Pelodiscus sinensis: one gene and its partner. The protein of the gene in region 2 purifies or fractionates together with the protein of the main gene of each other region. This does not show direct contact. Links are inferred from orthologs where the notes say so. Each region holds a gene or a part of one and is shown on either strand. Other genes may lie near its edges.

Region 1 (7,600 bases), on a different chromosome or scaffold from region 2:
TGCCCGGCCAGCTGGCCACGGCGCTCAGCCAGGGTGCACCAAGCTCCACGTGGGCAGGTGCAGAGGAGAAGCCGCCGATCAGCTGGAGCATGGGGCAGCCTCTTTCAGCTGAAAGCCAGTCAGCTGGCTGGGGTGTTTCAGCCCTCCCGACCTCCCAGCTCCCATCATTCCTCGCAGCTACTCACTTGTGTTGTTGCTCAGTGAGTAGCTGCTCCTCAAATGAGGAAATCTAATCTAAATGGACTGCACAGGTGCGCAGTTCAGAGAGGGCTCAAGAGCTACTCTTAGAGCCCCTGAGATCTACCAGTAGATCGATCTACTGGTTGGTGACCACGGACTTAGGGTATGTCTACACTACAGAGAACGATTGAAACTGCCACTGTTGCTCTTCTATGGTTCAAATTAGCACGTCTAGTTAAGACAGCTAACTAACTGAGAAGGGCACTCCAGTCGACGCCAGTAGTTCTGCTTCCACAAAGAGTGTTCTCCCTTCGACTTCCTGCAGTGCGGAAAGCGCCAAAAGTTGAGTTAAGGTACTTCAACTTCCGTGATGCAATTAATGTAGTTGAAGTTGAGTATCTTAATTTGACCTTGTCCCATAGTGTAGACATAACCTTAGTGAATAAAATCACTCAGAGCCATGATTCATATCAGAGACATGCAGTTTTGGTATACATGCATCCTATTTGTGTTACTACTTGCATAACCAGCTCTCTCTCATGAATGAGCAATGGAGATCAACTTAATTTTAATCTTTTGATTGAGTCCAATAATGTCTCCCTTTTTCTTTTTACAACACATTTAAAAGTAACTGTCAAATCACCACATAACCAATGTGACTCTGAAGACATGAAAAATCATTGAAATAATCTCTGGGTCAGTATGCAAACACTAATGCAGGTAAGCTGGTTTCTAGATGCAACACTAGAATTTTTCAAGTGTTCACAAGAGATCTAAACACCACAAACTCACAAAAGATTTTCCACCTTCCTATTTTAGCCATTTATAGAAATACGGCTCTCATACCTTTTCAAGGGGAACTCTTTATGTTAAAATCAAATTAATTTTAGCCATGATTTTGTCTCCTTTATAAGTTTTCATCACAAATTATGAATTTGAAAAGTTATAATAGTTTGTTTTAAATTAATAAATTGCTTCCTTCACAGGTATTTTCCTCCATCTTAGACTTCTGTCAGATTGTGATACTATCAGCCTTAAAAATTAAAACAGACTTAGGGCATGTGGAACCAATACAAATGCGGTAATAATAGCCACAGTTTCTGATCTCTAAAGACACAGAATAGCACCATCAACTGCCTTGAAGAAAAAACAAGGAGTCTGGTGACACTTAAAAGACTAACAATTTTATTATGGTCTATGTTTTTGTGAGTTAGAACTCACTTCATCAGATGCATGAAGTGAAACAAAGTGAGTTCTAACTCACGAAAGCATAGGCCATAATAAAATTGGTAGTCTAAGGAGCCACCAGACTCCTTGTTTTGCTGAAACAGACTAACGCAGCTACCTCTGAAACACATCTTGCAGAGTATATTTCAAGATCTTAGGTCAAGCTTTACACAGAATAGGAGCCATATACCCAAGAAACCACTTATTTCAGAGAAATTAACATATTTACACCATGAACAGCAACTCCAGCAGTAGATCAGGTTCATTTATACAAACAATAACTGAACTGAATATAGAGTGATGCAGCTATGACGCCACATTAGTGTAAAAAGCCTTTTTATATTTAGTAAAGTACTTAGATGTTAGCTAGATGTCAGATAAATACATGATATATCTGTTCTTAAAAGTTAGCCATGATTATGTTACAATTGGTTTCACAGTAATCAAATATGATACCTCACCAAGACAAATGATTGTGTGGCATTTTGATTAGCTACACGCCCTGCCCACACTGGGGAGGAAAGCAAGCCAGCCACCATATCCCCAGAGCACATCATTTGGGAAGCTTAATTTTAACATCTGTGGCTAGCTATTTGCATAGACAGTGGCTTCTCCAAGCTAGAGATTTCCCACAGCACTGCCAGCGACTATGGGACCAAGAGAAAGGGCCCAAGTGAGACCAGGCAGAAGGCAACATCTGAAGTCTCTAAATCAGGAGACGGGGTGACAGAAGCAGAGCTGGACTAGGCATTACTGGTGCCTGGCAAATCCCAGGTCTGGCTGAATGGCGGGTTTTCATGGCGGTCTGGTGCTGAGGTTACACTGCGTGTGGGGGGCAATTGCAGTTTCAGCCCCGAAGCGCCAGGGAGGCTCCTTGGGCGAGGAGGCCTCGGCAAGGCCTGGGCAGCGGAACAGCATCGCTGACCCCGTGGATGGCAGCGTCTCTGTCGCACTTTGCGGCATGACTCGCTGCCCGCCCCCAGGGCTGTCCCCAGGCAGCGGCCGCTTCCCCACCTCGAAGGGCCGGGCCCGGAGCAAGCCCCAGCGCCTGGCACCGCGGGCTCTTGCGGGACTGAGGAGCACAGGCCAAAGCCACGGGCGGGGCCCGCTGCCGAGCGCAGGGGCGGGGGAAGCCTCCTCCCACCCGGAGTCACCACGTCGGCGACGCCACCACTGCGGAAATGGGGCAGCCGGGGTCGGGCTTCGCTCTCCCGCCTCCCCATTTCCGCAGTAAGGGTCTCCGCGCCCCTGCCCCGCGTACCTGTGTCCCCAATGATGATATATTTGAAGAGATACGCGTAGGCCATGGCCGCCCAATCCCCGCCCTCGCCGCCGCCTCTCGCTCGGTCTCTCGCTCGCTCGCTCCTCAGTGACGCGCGCTCTCCCCCCGCCCTTGCTGTCAGGGCTCGCGCTGCGGACAGTTCGAAACCGTTAACGGCCACCTAATTGAGCCCTTTTCCTCCGGGCTCCCTGCCCTTTCCCTCCTCTCGGGCGGCTCAGCGTGCGGAGGCGGCAGCCCGTGAGAGCAGGAACAATAACAGGCAGCGGAGGCAGCAGCCCGAACCCTTCAGCAACGTCACGCAAGGCAACCTCCCTCTCCGCCCCGCCCCCCGCTGACCCGGAAGTGCAGCCGGTGCTCGAGCAGGTCCCGTATGACGGGCGGCTCCGAGCCTTACCCCGCCCTCGAGGAGTCCTGCGCCCACTGGTCGGGGCCCGGAGGGGAAGGCTCGTGGGGCGGCAGAGGGACGCGACAGCCCCGTGACCGAGGCAGGTGCCTTGCCTGGCTGCCCCTGCAGCCCCCTCACCTGCCCGGCGCTGCCGCTCGCTGCGCGTGGGACAACCCTGGCAGCCCCCTGCCGCGAGGGGGCCGCGGATCCCAGAGCCCCGCCCTCCCCGGAGTGTCACTGGTCGGCCTGGCGGCGAAGGTCCGACTGCGGTGCCGCCCAGGGGCTGGAGGCCGCCGTGCTAGGCGGTGGCCAGACGCAGATGGCTCTTGACCCAGAGAGGCCTAGTCTGCACCTGAGACTGAAGCCACCCAAGCTCCAGCGCTCAGGGCGGGGCAGATTCCGTGCCTAGTGCCATGATGTGGGGCGCTCGAACCGCAGACGCCGCTGCGTTACTGGACGAATTCTCCCCCTCAAGGGGATGGATTTTCTTGCAGTGATGGAAACGCTGAAGCAATCCCCTACAGCCACATAGTTGCAGCTATGCTACTATAGCACACATGGGTTATGTCTGCACTGGCGGGTTCTTGCACAAGAACCTGTAGAGCACCCACCCTCTCTTGTGCAAGAAGATTTACAGTACGGTGTGGTAAGAGAGGGCTTCTTGCACAAGAGCTACACTCTTTTTTTACAAGTGTAAGCCTTCTTGCGTAAGAAGGCAGTGTGGATGCGCGGCAAGTGTTTCTTATGCAAGAAAGCCCTATGGCTAAAATGGCCATCAGAGCTTTCTTGTGCAAGAGAGCGTCCACCCTGCTATGGATGCTCTTGTGCAAAAGCACATCTTGCACATGGCAATGTGGACATGTGCTTGCACAAGAGTTCTTGCACAAGAACCTGCCAGTGTAGACATAGCCATGTAGTGTGGGGCATATGCTAAATCTGTGATCTACTGCCCATCAGAGTTCTGTGGGTGGCCTGCTGCCCATGGGGTTACCAGTTTTTGGTTACCAGTTTTTGTGTTTCCCCATCTACATAAGGTTTTATTTCCTACCAGTATCACTAAAGTGACGTGAACATAAAGTAAGGACATATGAAGTGAGGTGCATGCTGATTGCACGCAACATTGAATGTGAGAGCCTGTGCTCCCTCTGCTCCCATCCAATCAAAGAGCTGCTACAGTTCAATTGGAACACCCTGCAACTTCTAAGTAAGAGCAATTATAAAAGTGACCCTATCCCAGAAGACTGTTTTGGTTACAACAATTTTGCAGTCCACTAGGATAAAACAGCCATTCACGTAGACCACTCACTAGCTTAGGTTGCCCATCACTGCTCTAAGTGGCCATCTTTTTAAATTTTGTTACCAGGAAGTAAAGAGCAGGATCCCTTTCCCTAATCTTGTAGCTGTATTTTTCTCCTGTGGCTCTTATGTAGAGGAGGGTGTCACACTTTAAGTTGCTTACAACCAGGAACACCTTGTCAGCCGACGGTCAGGGCAGTGAGTCCCTTATGACCGGCTGAAGTTCTTTTAGATTGTGCTTGGTTCTGTTACAGCAACTGAAGGAGTTAGGTTAAAGCTTAAACAGTTACTATTTTATTGTTACAGGGTAAACTTAGTTGTTAAATGCTACTACTGTGTTACAGATAACACAGCCACTACAAAGGACAGGACAGAAATTACACTAATAAGTCACTTACAGGTACCATGAAACCCTTTTGGTTCTCTGAGCTCTTATTAAATGCATGCAAAATAGACACATAGCAGGTATATATTCTCACCCCTGCGTTTCAGACTTGGCGTGGCCAGCGTCTTTCTCTCAATCCCTCGGGAAGAAGTAGGGCGAGGTTGGGCGTCCCACAGACCTTGGGAGACAATCAATACCTGCCAGCAGGTATAGATGATTGGAGCTCAAATGGGGTGGGCAGCGGAACCTCTTTTTATACCCCTTGGGTCATGTAGGCTTCTTCCTGGTCTCAAGTGGCCAATTAGGAAAAATGGCTTTGAACACCAAGTTTCCCACTAAGGGTACAAAGCATAATTTACACCTGGGAAAATGCAGACAATGGGCACCTCTGGTATGTGATGGGCGAAGATTCCTCTCCTGGGACAGTGCAGGCATGTCAATTACTGGTACTAGCCATCAGGGTGATAGGAGGCCCCGGGTCGTCAGCTAGCCCATTTACTGTCTGGTTTCTGTTTATGGTAGAGTCAGGGACAGGCAGCACACCTGCGTTCCCAGGGCATCAAAGGCTGACTGCCTTTCTCTTGCTCTCTGGGGGGGGGAGGGACGACAAGATGGGGTTCGTGGAAAAACAAGATGGGGTTTGTGTCTGGCTACACACCTACATCAGGGCAGTATGACAAAAACATGGCAGACACCCCAAACTGGTAGGCTATGTCTACACTGGTGGCTTCGTGCGCAAGAACATCTTGCACAAGGGTTCTTTTGCACAAGAGCTCCCATGGCAGTGTGGACGCTCTCTTGCGCAAGAAAGCTCTGATGGCCATTTTAGCCATAGGGCTTTCTTGTGCAAGAAATCCCTGCTGAGTGTACACACTGCCCTCTTGTGCAAGAGCACCTGCTCAAGAGGGCTTACATCTGATAAAAAAGAGTGTAACTCTTGCGCAAGGAGCCCTCTCTCACCATGCCGAACTGTAAATTTCCTTGTGCAAGAGCGGGCGGGTGACCCCCGCACTTACGACCTAATTGGTTCCTGGAGAACCATTGTAAGTTGAACACTTAATGTCCATAGGGGCAATGTTATGAATGGAGGTTCCATTCTTGGCCTGCTTTGCCTCCTGGGAGTTGTAGTCTCCTGGAGCCAGCAGCACAAATGGCACCCTGAGCTGGCTGGGGACTGTGCCGGGTGGTAGGTGGCCCCGCGACGTGGTGCGAATGGCACCCAGAGCTGGCCAGGGGCTGTGCCAAGCAGTAGGCGGCCCCATGGCTCCTGAAGCAGGGTGGCTGTAAATGCGGGGGGTTGCAGGACGTGTGGTCATAAGTCGGGGATTGCCTGCATACAAATGAGTTACCATTTAAATCAATGGTCGTGTCGCCTATCAGGGTAATCTGATTGTCAGGGTTGAGTCATTTTCCTGACATTGACTGTCAGCAGGCACTGCCTCTCACAACTCTCACTGGCCATGGTTCTATGTTCCCAGTCAATGGGAGCTATGGGAAGTGGTGGCCAACATGTCCCTGCAGACCCTTCACCTGCAGGTATTGTTTCCCACAGTTCCCATTGTTCAGGAACAGAGAACCCCGGTCATTATGAGCTGTGGTGCTTGCAGATGATCAATGTCAGCAAAATGTCTCACGGCCAGCAGATTACCCTGGGGGGCCGCCTGCGGCCTTCAGACTGCAGATTGCCCACCACTGATCTAAATCCTAAAAATGACAAGAGTTGTAGTGGTCTGTCTATTCAAAGTGTCTTTCAGAACAAATCAAGGAGGCAGCCTCTGGGAATCTCTGGCTTCATTTTACAGTCTCTGGTCCATCAGAGTTCAGACAATCAAAAAGATGCAGTTTCTTCTCAGGAATTGTTATTCCCTTCACCCAGAGTTCAAGATGTTGGATCAAATTTATGGGCATGTCTCTTTTTCATGGAGTGGAATCAACAAAAACTTTCATCCTCTGATGTTTCACAGTGGTTTGTCTGATGTTTATGGGCATTCTTTAGTTAAGCAAGAGATAACACCTCTTGTGGCAAACTAGTATCTCACATTTTGTAAGTTTTCTCTTCTGGCTATGGAGGTTTACAGTTTCAAAACAAACACTTAACTTACCTTATAACACGGAATATAGATATTACAAGTGTATTGTACAAGCTTTTCATAGAGTCTAAACACTAAGTACAGTTTTATAAGACCAATACCTATTTTGAGCAAAACTAATATGGTCACCTGGTCTAGTTTGCAGCTGAGAGTCAATTCTTAATACATGCAGCTTGGGCAGGAGCTGGCTTCTGGCCTGTCAGCATCATAGAAGGATAAAATATCCCCTACAATTATCTCATAAGATGGATCCCTGTAAAGTGGCAGCAATGGATAACATAGTGTGGATAGCAACATCCATTCCTTCAAGGATTATGGATCCATTGTACAGGTTAAATGTCTCTAGTCCAGAACCTTCACGACCTGACTGGTTCTGAACCAGAGAATTTTCTGGACCATGGGAGGTCAATATTGTCTAGCAGCACTACCAATGCTTCCACTGTTCACTGGGCTGTTAGAGGACATTAAGGCTTTGTCTACACTGTGAGTCGTTGTGGCAGAAAATATGCTAATGAGGGACTCATTAGCATAAATCACAATATCATTAGCATATTTTCTTCCATTTCTTTTTGCAGAAGGGGTTTTTGCACAAAAAGAAGCAGTGTAGCTGCTTCCATTTTGCGCAAAACCCCTATTTTGTACAAGATCCGGGAGAGGCATTAGAGTCTTGCGCAAAACAGGGTTTTTTCACAAAACAGAAGTGGCGGCACTGTTTCTTTTTGCCCCAAAAGAAATGGCAGAAAATATTCTAATGA
Region 2 (7,541 bases):
AAGAACTATGATGCTCCCACTCAGGAATAAGCCCTCTTGTGCAACTGTTCTTGCGCAAGAAGCCAGTGTAGACAAGCAACATGAATTTCTTGCGCAAGAAAGCCCGATGGCTAAAATGGCCATCAGAGCTTTCTTGCGCAAGAGAGCATCTACATTGGCACAGATGCTTTTGTGCAAAAGTACATCTCTTGCGCAAAGGCACATGCCAGTGTAGACGCTCTCTTGCGTAAATACTTTAACGCAAGAACTCTTGCGTTAAAGAGTATGGCTGTGTCTACATTGGCACCCTTTTCCGGAAAAGGAATGCTAATGAGACACTCCAGAATTGCAAATGCCACGGGGGATTTAAATATCCCCCGCGGCATTTGCATGAACATGGCTGCCGCTTTTTTCCAGCTCGGGGCTTTGCCAGAGAAAAGCGCCAGTCTAGACGGGATCTTTCGGAAAATAAAGCCTTTTCCGGAAGATCCCTTATTCCTCTTAAAATCAGGAATAAGGGATCTTCCGGAAAAGGCTTTATTTTCTGAAAGATCCCGTCTAGACTGGTGCTTTTCTCCGGAAAAGCCCCGAGCCGGAAAAAAGCAGCAGCCATGTTCATGCAAATGCCGTGGGGGATATTTAAATCCCCCGCGGCATTTGCAATTCCGAAGTGTCTCATTAGCATCCCTTTTCCGGAAAAGGGTGCCAATGTAGACACAGCCTATTTGCGCAAGATTATGCCAATGTAAATGTAGTCAAGAAGTTACCCTGTTGACCTGAGCACTTTGCTAATATTTGGGGTCCTGCAGGTTGTTTCCAGTAGGAGGAGAAATAGAGCGAGGTATTTCTTTAACAGTGCTATTGATTTACAAAGAACGTGCACAAAGTCCTGTTTCTCTGAACACAATAAGATCAAATGATGAGAGGCAATGTCCTTGTTCACATGTCCAAGTATGCCTTTCCAGTCATCCCAAGGTAGACTACTTCTTTTTAGAGTAACTCATAGTTCTTTGGGTTCAATTTCAAATTGGCAGTCTGAATCTTACCACAAACCATTTATACGAGTTCCTATTCAGAGGGCTTAGATCCCACCAGGATATAATCTAGATATACACCGGCTAAAGATGGGGCAGAAAACTGTTGCAAATGTCCTGTTATTGGCTGGCCCAATTCCTCATCCAGATGACTGACTTCCACTGTGGTCTGTGATCCTTTGATTTCTTTCTCAAAGTGATTTTTAGCTCCGTAAATTCCTCCTGCACCTCATTTCTTCTAGCAACATTTTAGGTAAGAGGGGATCCAAAATTAAATCACCTATTTGGTTTCCTGAGAAGACAGGGACTCGGGAATTTGCACCCATCCAAAAATGGGGGAAATTGTGTCTGAAACTTAGACTTCTATAATTAGAGCAAGAACTCTGAATAGCGGGACAGTGGATGAGGCAATAATTGGTCTGGATTTCATTATGACTAATAATTGTGTAATAAATGCCAGGAAAAGCAACCTATTAATTCACTCTGTGGAAATTCCCTTTAAAGATGTGGTGCAAGAAAGACATATAATTTTAGGCATTTGGTCTGCAGTGAGCAAGTTGTCTTGCCTCCAGCAGCATGCTGGGATAGCTTTTAAGCAAAAGGAGGATGGAGAGTGACTGAGACATGCTTTAAGATCTAGATTTTCAGAGGGATTGTAGCTGTTAAGATTCTTGAGGGTGGGACTGGCAATGGACTCCTGTTCGTTTACTAAATGTTTCTGAAAACAGCAAATATTAGAAAATGGAACCACAACTGCAAAACAAAAATCAGTGGATCTAGTAAATACTGGTATAGAAGAAATCTACAAGGAAGAAAGGGGTGAAAGTGAGTCCCCAGAGTTTGCAGGCACAGAGCAGCAGAAAAAGCAGCAGGAAACAGCAAGCAAAGCACAGATAGTGTGGCCCTAAGAGAAAGCCAAGAGGAAGTGTTTTGGGCAGAGTTCCGGCTATAAAAGGAGACTTGAGATTGTGAGCAAGGAACCTGACTTCTGTTGTTTGCTCCTACCAGGTTCAAGGAAATGGGATTTTGTGTACATTCGTTGTAAATTAACAAGACTGTATCAAAGAAATAACCTGACTGTATCACCAGTTTCTCCTCCTAATGCAAGGTCCCAAATATTTGCAGATGGCTCAGGCCAGAAATATTAACAGTACCAAAATCAACACCCCTTTCTCAGGGGACTATTATTGTTTCAAGGAATAATGTTGCTAAGCTATCCTGCACTGATTGGAATTGGACAACCAGTGCATTGGCTTTACATCTTGTCCCGGGGTGCTGGAGCAGGTTTTATAATGGGGATTCTCAGAGCCACTGAACCAAATTGTAAACCCAGTGTAGAATGCAAACCACCTCAAGCCAAAGGGTGCAGTAGCACTCCTGGCATCCCTAGTTCCAACACTTATGTCTTGCCTTGGTGATGCTGGTCTTTGATTACTGCAACCTCAGCATAATGGGTCTCCCTGACGTACACCTTGCCAGAGTTCATACAACTTGCAGCTTTTAACTTTATCTTCCATGTCTGAGCCAGCACAATCTTACTGTTGAGTGTAGTACTGACCACCACACTACATACACTTAAGTAAGTGAAAAGCTCTATTCCTGTAACTCCACCGACATTAGGACTACTGCTGGGAATGAAGATACATATATTTGTGTTTGCTGGATAAGGGCCTTAGATTGTAAAGTCCTTGGGACAGGAAGCATATTTCCTCTACACTGCATACAGTGCTATAGTCAATAAGGGTATGTCTAGACTACATGGCTACATCAACAGAGCCATGTAGATGAGTTTACTAGACATAAGAAAATGAAGCGGCGATTTAAATAATCGCAGCTTCATTTACATGAAAATGGCCGCCACGCTGTGTCGATCAACTGTTTGGCGGCATAGTGGGGCAGTCTGAACGCGCTGCAGTCGACAAAGGAAGCCTTTGTTGACCGCTCCGGTATGCCTCATGAAATGAGGTATACCGGAGCGGTTGACAAAGGCTTCCCTTGTCGACTGTGGCGTGTCCAGACTGCCCCGCTGTGCCGCCAAAAAGCGCAGCGGCCATTTTCATGTAAATTAAGTGGTGATTATTTAAATCGCTGCTTTATTTTCCTATGTCTAGTAAACTCATCTACATGGCTCCGTCGATGCAGCCATGTAGTCTAGACATACCCTAAGAGAATATGTTTCACTTTCTGGTTCTCTTACCCACAGCACTAGGGTACCCGAGTGTTCCCTGTAAGCTGACAGCTTGGGCAGCCACCCAGGAGAGATACAGGTGCCTCCCAATGGATTAGCAGAGCATCCGCAGCTGGCAGCATGCATTTCTATTGGTAGTACACATCTGCACATGCCTTGGTTTGCATAACAAAATTTATTCTGCACCTGGATGGAAAACATTAGAGGGAACATTGGATACCACAGCTGGGAAGCAGAAAGGGCAAGGGAATATTTCTTCAGTTAAAAATAGAAGTGAGAAATACACGCTCTGTTTCCACTAGAACCATGTCCAACATGCTAGCCACTAGCCACTATTTGGCCAGTTGAGTGTAGCTACTTCACTATATACTTCACTATAGCAGAACTGGTTGGACACCACAGAACTAGAACTATAAAGGAGTTCCAGACATGGGTTTTATTAGATTTATAGTTGACCTGAAATGTTTTCCTAATGCACCGGTCTGAAACCTATGGCTCTAGAGCCAAATATGGCTCAGTACGGAACCAAATATGGCTCTTTTGCAAATCCCAAATACACACAACTTTTTAAATGTAAATGAAACATTAATTCAAAATTTAAAAAAGTGTAATTACTCATGTCAAGAATTTGTTTTGTCTATTTCACCTTTAACTGTTCATGTTAATAACCATCCATCCTCTCCACTCCTTGTAAACGTCAAAAGAAATGTGCAAAAATATGCAGCAGCAGAAGTCCCATGTAAGAAAGTCCTTGAATACAATGTTTCCTTTATGCCATTATTAGTCATCATGTCAATTATTAATAAAATTAAGTTGTATATTTTCAGTCATTCAAATGGGCCTTTTTAGAGGGCTCTTTGTTGAGCACTTATTCTGAATTTTAATGTAGTTTGGCTCTTCGGTTTGAAAAGGTTGCAGACTCCTGCTCTAACGTGACAAAAGCAGGGGGGCGCTGAACAATTTGTATAGTGTGTGTGTGTGGGGGGGGGGGGGAGGCTAAAAACCACTGAACCAAATATAAACTCCTGTAGCAGCTGGAAACCCGTTGGAGCCAGAGGTGCGGGTTGCAGCACCCCGGCGTGCCCTAGACTCGGCATCCCAGAAGTTGAAGGTGGACGAGGCTTCTGGGTATCATGCTCCCCACCCGCTGCCAGGGCAGGGCTGAGCCCAGCGCGGCTCTGCCCAGCACCGGGTTAAACCCCTGGGCAGCTGCTGGAGATCTGACGAACCCCCTTTCCTTGCCAAGCCCTGCAAGAGCTCCCCACCCAGCTGCGGGGCGAGGCAGCCCCAGCCGCTCCGGAGGGGGCGGGAGTCCCGTCTCCCGTCTGTCAGGGAGTGTCTGGGCTGCTATCGCGGTCTCTCCCTAGGCCGGGCTCCTAGGTCCGCCCCGCTCCCTCCCACCCAGCTGTCACTCAGCCCGGCTACAGCCGCCGCAGAGCCCGGCGAGCAAGGTAAGCGCGTGGGCCGGCAGCGGCGCCGCTCCGCAGCCTCCTCCCTGTCTCCGAGCAGGCCGCTCTGCAGAGGTAACCGGGCGGCGGCCGGGGAGAGAGGGGGCGGCCCGCAGGAGGGATGGGGCCGGGCGGTGCCTTTTGCAAAGGCCCGGAGCTCTGTGCTGCGGCCAGGCCCTGGCAGCTGCCTCCCTTCCCCCGCCCTGGAGCCTGAGCCGGGCGCCTGGATGCAAAGGGCTGGGCTGAGCCGGTCTTCCTCCAGTCACCTTCGGGGTGGTGCAGCCATGCGGAGAGGGCGTCGGATGTTCTCGGCAGCGTGGTCCCTATTTCAGGCAGCGCCCCCGGCTTATGCCCGCCGCCAGCTGGCTCAGAGAGGGAGGGGTTTGCAGGATGGCATCTCCCGCTTCCTTCTCCACCCCGTCATCCCCCCAGAGCCAGTCTGTAGGTGACCTTCTCTCTGGGGAAGGCGTGTAAGATTTACCCTACCGCATTCTCATACAGGCCCCGACTAGAACATGCGAGTCTGCTGTCCTCCCCCCGGCGAATCCCTAGGACGGGTTACATCGCAGTGCAGGGCTCTACTAGCTGATGCAATATGTAGATTATTCTCATAGCCAGGAGAGGGATGTAAATTATTGTGCCTACAATTTGTAACTTCTCCACCAACCAGATTTTACTATTGTGCATTATCTGGACTGCATTCATCCCTGTTCTTGGTTGGATTTTGGGTGCTCATACTTCCAGGGCCTCCTCCTCCCCTTGCATTCTGAATGCCCTTAATGCCTGTTTCATACCTTTTTTTTTTCTTTTTTTTTTTTTGAGGCCTGACAGTAATAAAACATATTTGCTGTTTGTCCATCAGGCTGTTAAAACTGCAGGATCCTGAAATGTGAACTGCTTCAATTGGTCTCAGGAATGATAGGAGGAAATTCCATAGCAGCTAAGCTTTGCATGTTTTAAAATGTACGTGGAGGCAAAATAAGAATATTTTTGCTAACAATTTACTATATAAACTTTTTCTGAAATAGTGTAGATTATAATCTTTCATTTCAGATGAGTTTTGATCCTTTGAAGCATGACTTGCTATGTGACTGATATAAATGTGAGCAATAACAGGTAACAGAATTTTGGTTATATGAGGATACTTCCATGTAGTGGACAAAATTCTGCCATTAACTCTCCCTACAATCCCATTGTCTTTAATGGAGTGGTAGTACTAGCTGCTAATCAGTCTGAGAATTGTCTTTAAGGTAATTATCCTTTAACCCTTGACGTGTACATGTTTCTGAAAGCATGCTTCCTGAGATATGTGCAGCTTTTTATAATTTTTCATTTTCATATAAAGCAAAGGTCACTGGCTATATGTCTGCTTATATTGTTATATGATAGCATGACTCATCACAGAATCTTTGGCCAGTAATTTACCTTATTTTAACTGGCTCATTCCAGCCTGTTATTTTCCGTATTCTTGTGAAAAGTGGGAATGAATTGTAGGGTTTAGTGGAGTTCCAGAAGTGAGAGAAATTCAGCATGAGATATTCAATAAAACACACACACCCAACTCCCAAAATACATGTACTTTTTAAAAAAGAAGTTATTTATATGTTAACTGAATGTTAAGACTGGGTAAAGGACCAGTTTAAGAATGCTAGGGACTGAATTCATTTAACCTATGATCAGGCTCAGCCTTGTGCAGCAGCCATGAAAGTTTTTCCACACTGTCTTGTCACGTGTGATCTGGAAGAACAATTTTTGTTGGTGTAAAGTAGCTCTGTCTCCATGTATTTTCTGTCACTGGCCATCAGTTAAAGTAAAATTGGAGTGGAAGGTATCCATGCTGTTGAGTAGAGTTATTTCTAAGGATAGTGATGGAAATGTAGCCGTGTTAGTCTGGTGTAGCTGAAACAAAAAACAGGACTATGTAGCACTTTAAAGACTAACAAGATGGTTTATTAGGTGATGAGCTTTCGTGGGCCAGACCCACTTCCTCAGATCAAATAGTGGAAGAAAATTGTCACAACCATATATACCAAAGGATACAATTCTAAGGAGCAGTGATAATGATTCTGTGTTGCATACCAGATTGCTTTGTGAGGGTCAGAAATGAAGATTTGTTCATTCCCTGGTAGGAATTGTCAGAATCTCTTTGAAGAAGGATGTTCGCAGTGTGAAAACTCTTTAAAGTACAAGACCTGCTCCATTTTTACATAACAAGTCATTTGTTTGGCCCGTCATTTTCTGTATTCCTCCTGTTTCTCCCCCCTCCCCCCCCCCCATCCTGCTATAGCATTTGTCTGGTAGTGCAAGAAAGTCTGAATTGGGTATGGAAACCAAAAAGATATCCCCGATTCAGTCTTGTGGCTTACCTGCAGGACGGTGTCAAACAGAATCTAAGTAGTGAGATTGCAAAGCCCAGACATACATATTTTGAGAAAATGACAGATGAAAAGCATAGAAGGAGAAAATGGATTTAACCTATACCCCCGCCCCTAACCGCTGCAGGTACAAGCTGGCTGCTTCAGGGAGCCATTTTCCTGTAGTGTGATAGGAACTAGCAAACAAAAATACACTGGGGAACCAATTGTTACCCTCAATATTAACTAGTCAGACCCATTAATTTGAGGGCGTGCTGATGTAATAATAGAAGTATCATATGGTTTGCTCTTCAGTGCTTTGCCCAGGCATACTGTGCCCTCTGAACTGGTTACCTTGTCCTGCATTGGTCATATAACTGGCAACTCAGATATCACTGGCCAAATAAATCACTGTCTTAATTCTGTTCCCATCCTTGCTTCCAATGGTCACATTATTGCTCACTGCTTCCTATACATGTATTTGCACAATCAATTAGAGATTAATTTGTGATTTTATTTTTAAATAATAGGATCTTTG

Evidence for each region. The genes of interacting proteins can lie anywhere in the genome.
Region 1: the proteins of VDAC1 (region 2) and RAB2A purify together in Homo sapiens (affinity purification with mass spectrometry; 3 studies listed by BioGRID and IntAct, with this or other methods). This does not show direct contact. The link is inferred for Pelodiscus sinensis from reciprocal best matches to the Homo sapiens genes VDAC1 and RAB2A.

What each region holds. Positions count from the first base shown.
Region 1 is NC_134712.1:61,919,065-61,926,664, forward strand, and holds the start of RAB2A (ras-related protein Rab-2A), read right to left. Parts: upstream 3,020-7,600; 5' UTR 2,715-3,019; coding exon 2,669-2,714; intron 1-2,668.
Region 2 is NC_134727.1:27,818,398-27,825,938, reverse strand, and holds the start of VDAC1 (non-selective voltage-gated ion channel VDAC1), read left to right. Parts: upstream 1-4,525; 5' UTR 4,526-4,652; exon of another isoform or gene 4,653-4,724; intron 4,725-5,511; exon of another isoform or gene 5,512-5,612; intron 5,613-7,541. UniProt on the Homo sapiens protein: Non-selective voltage-gated ion channel that mediates the transport of anions and cations through the mitochondrion outer membrane and plasma membrane.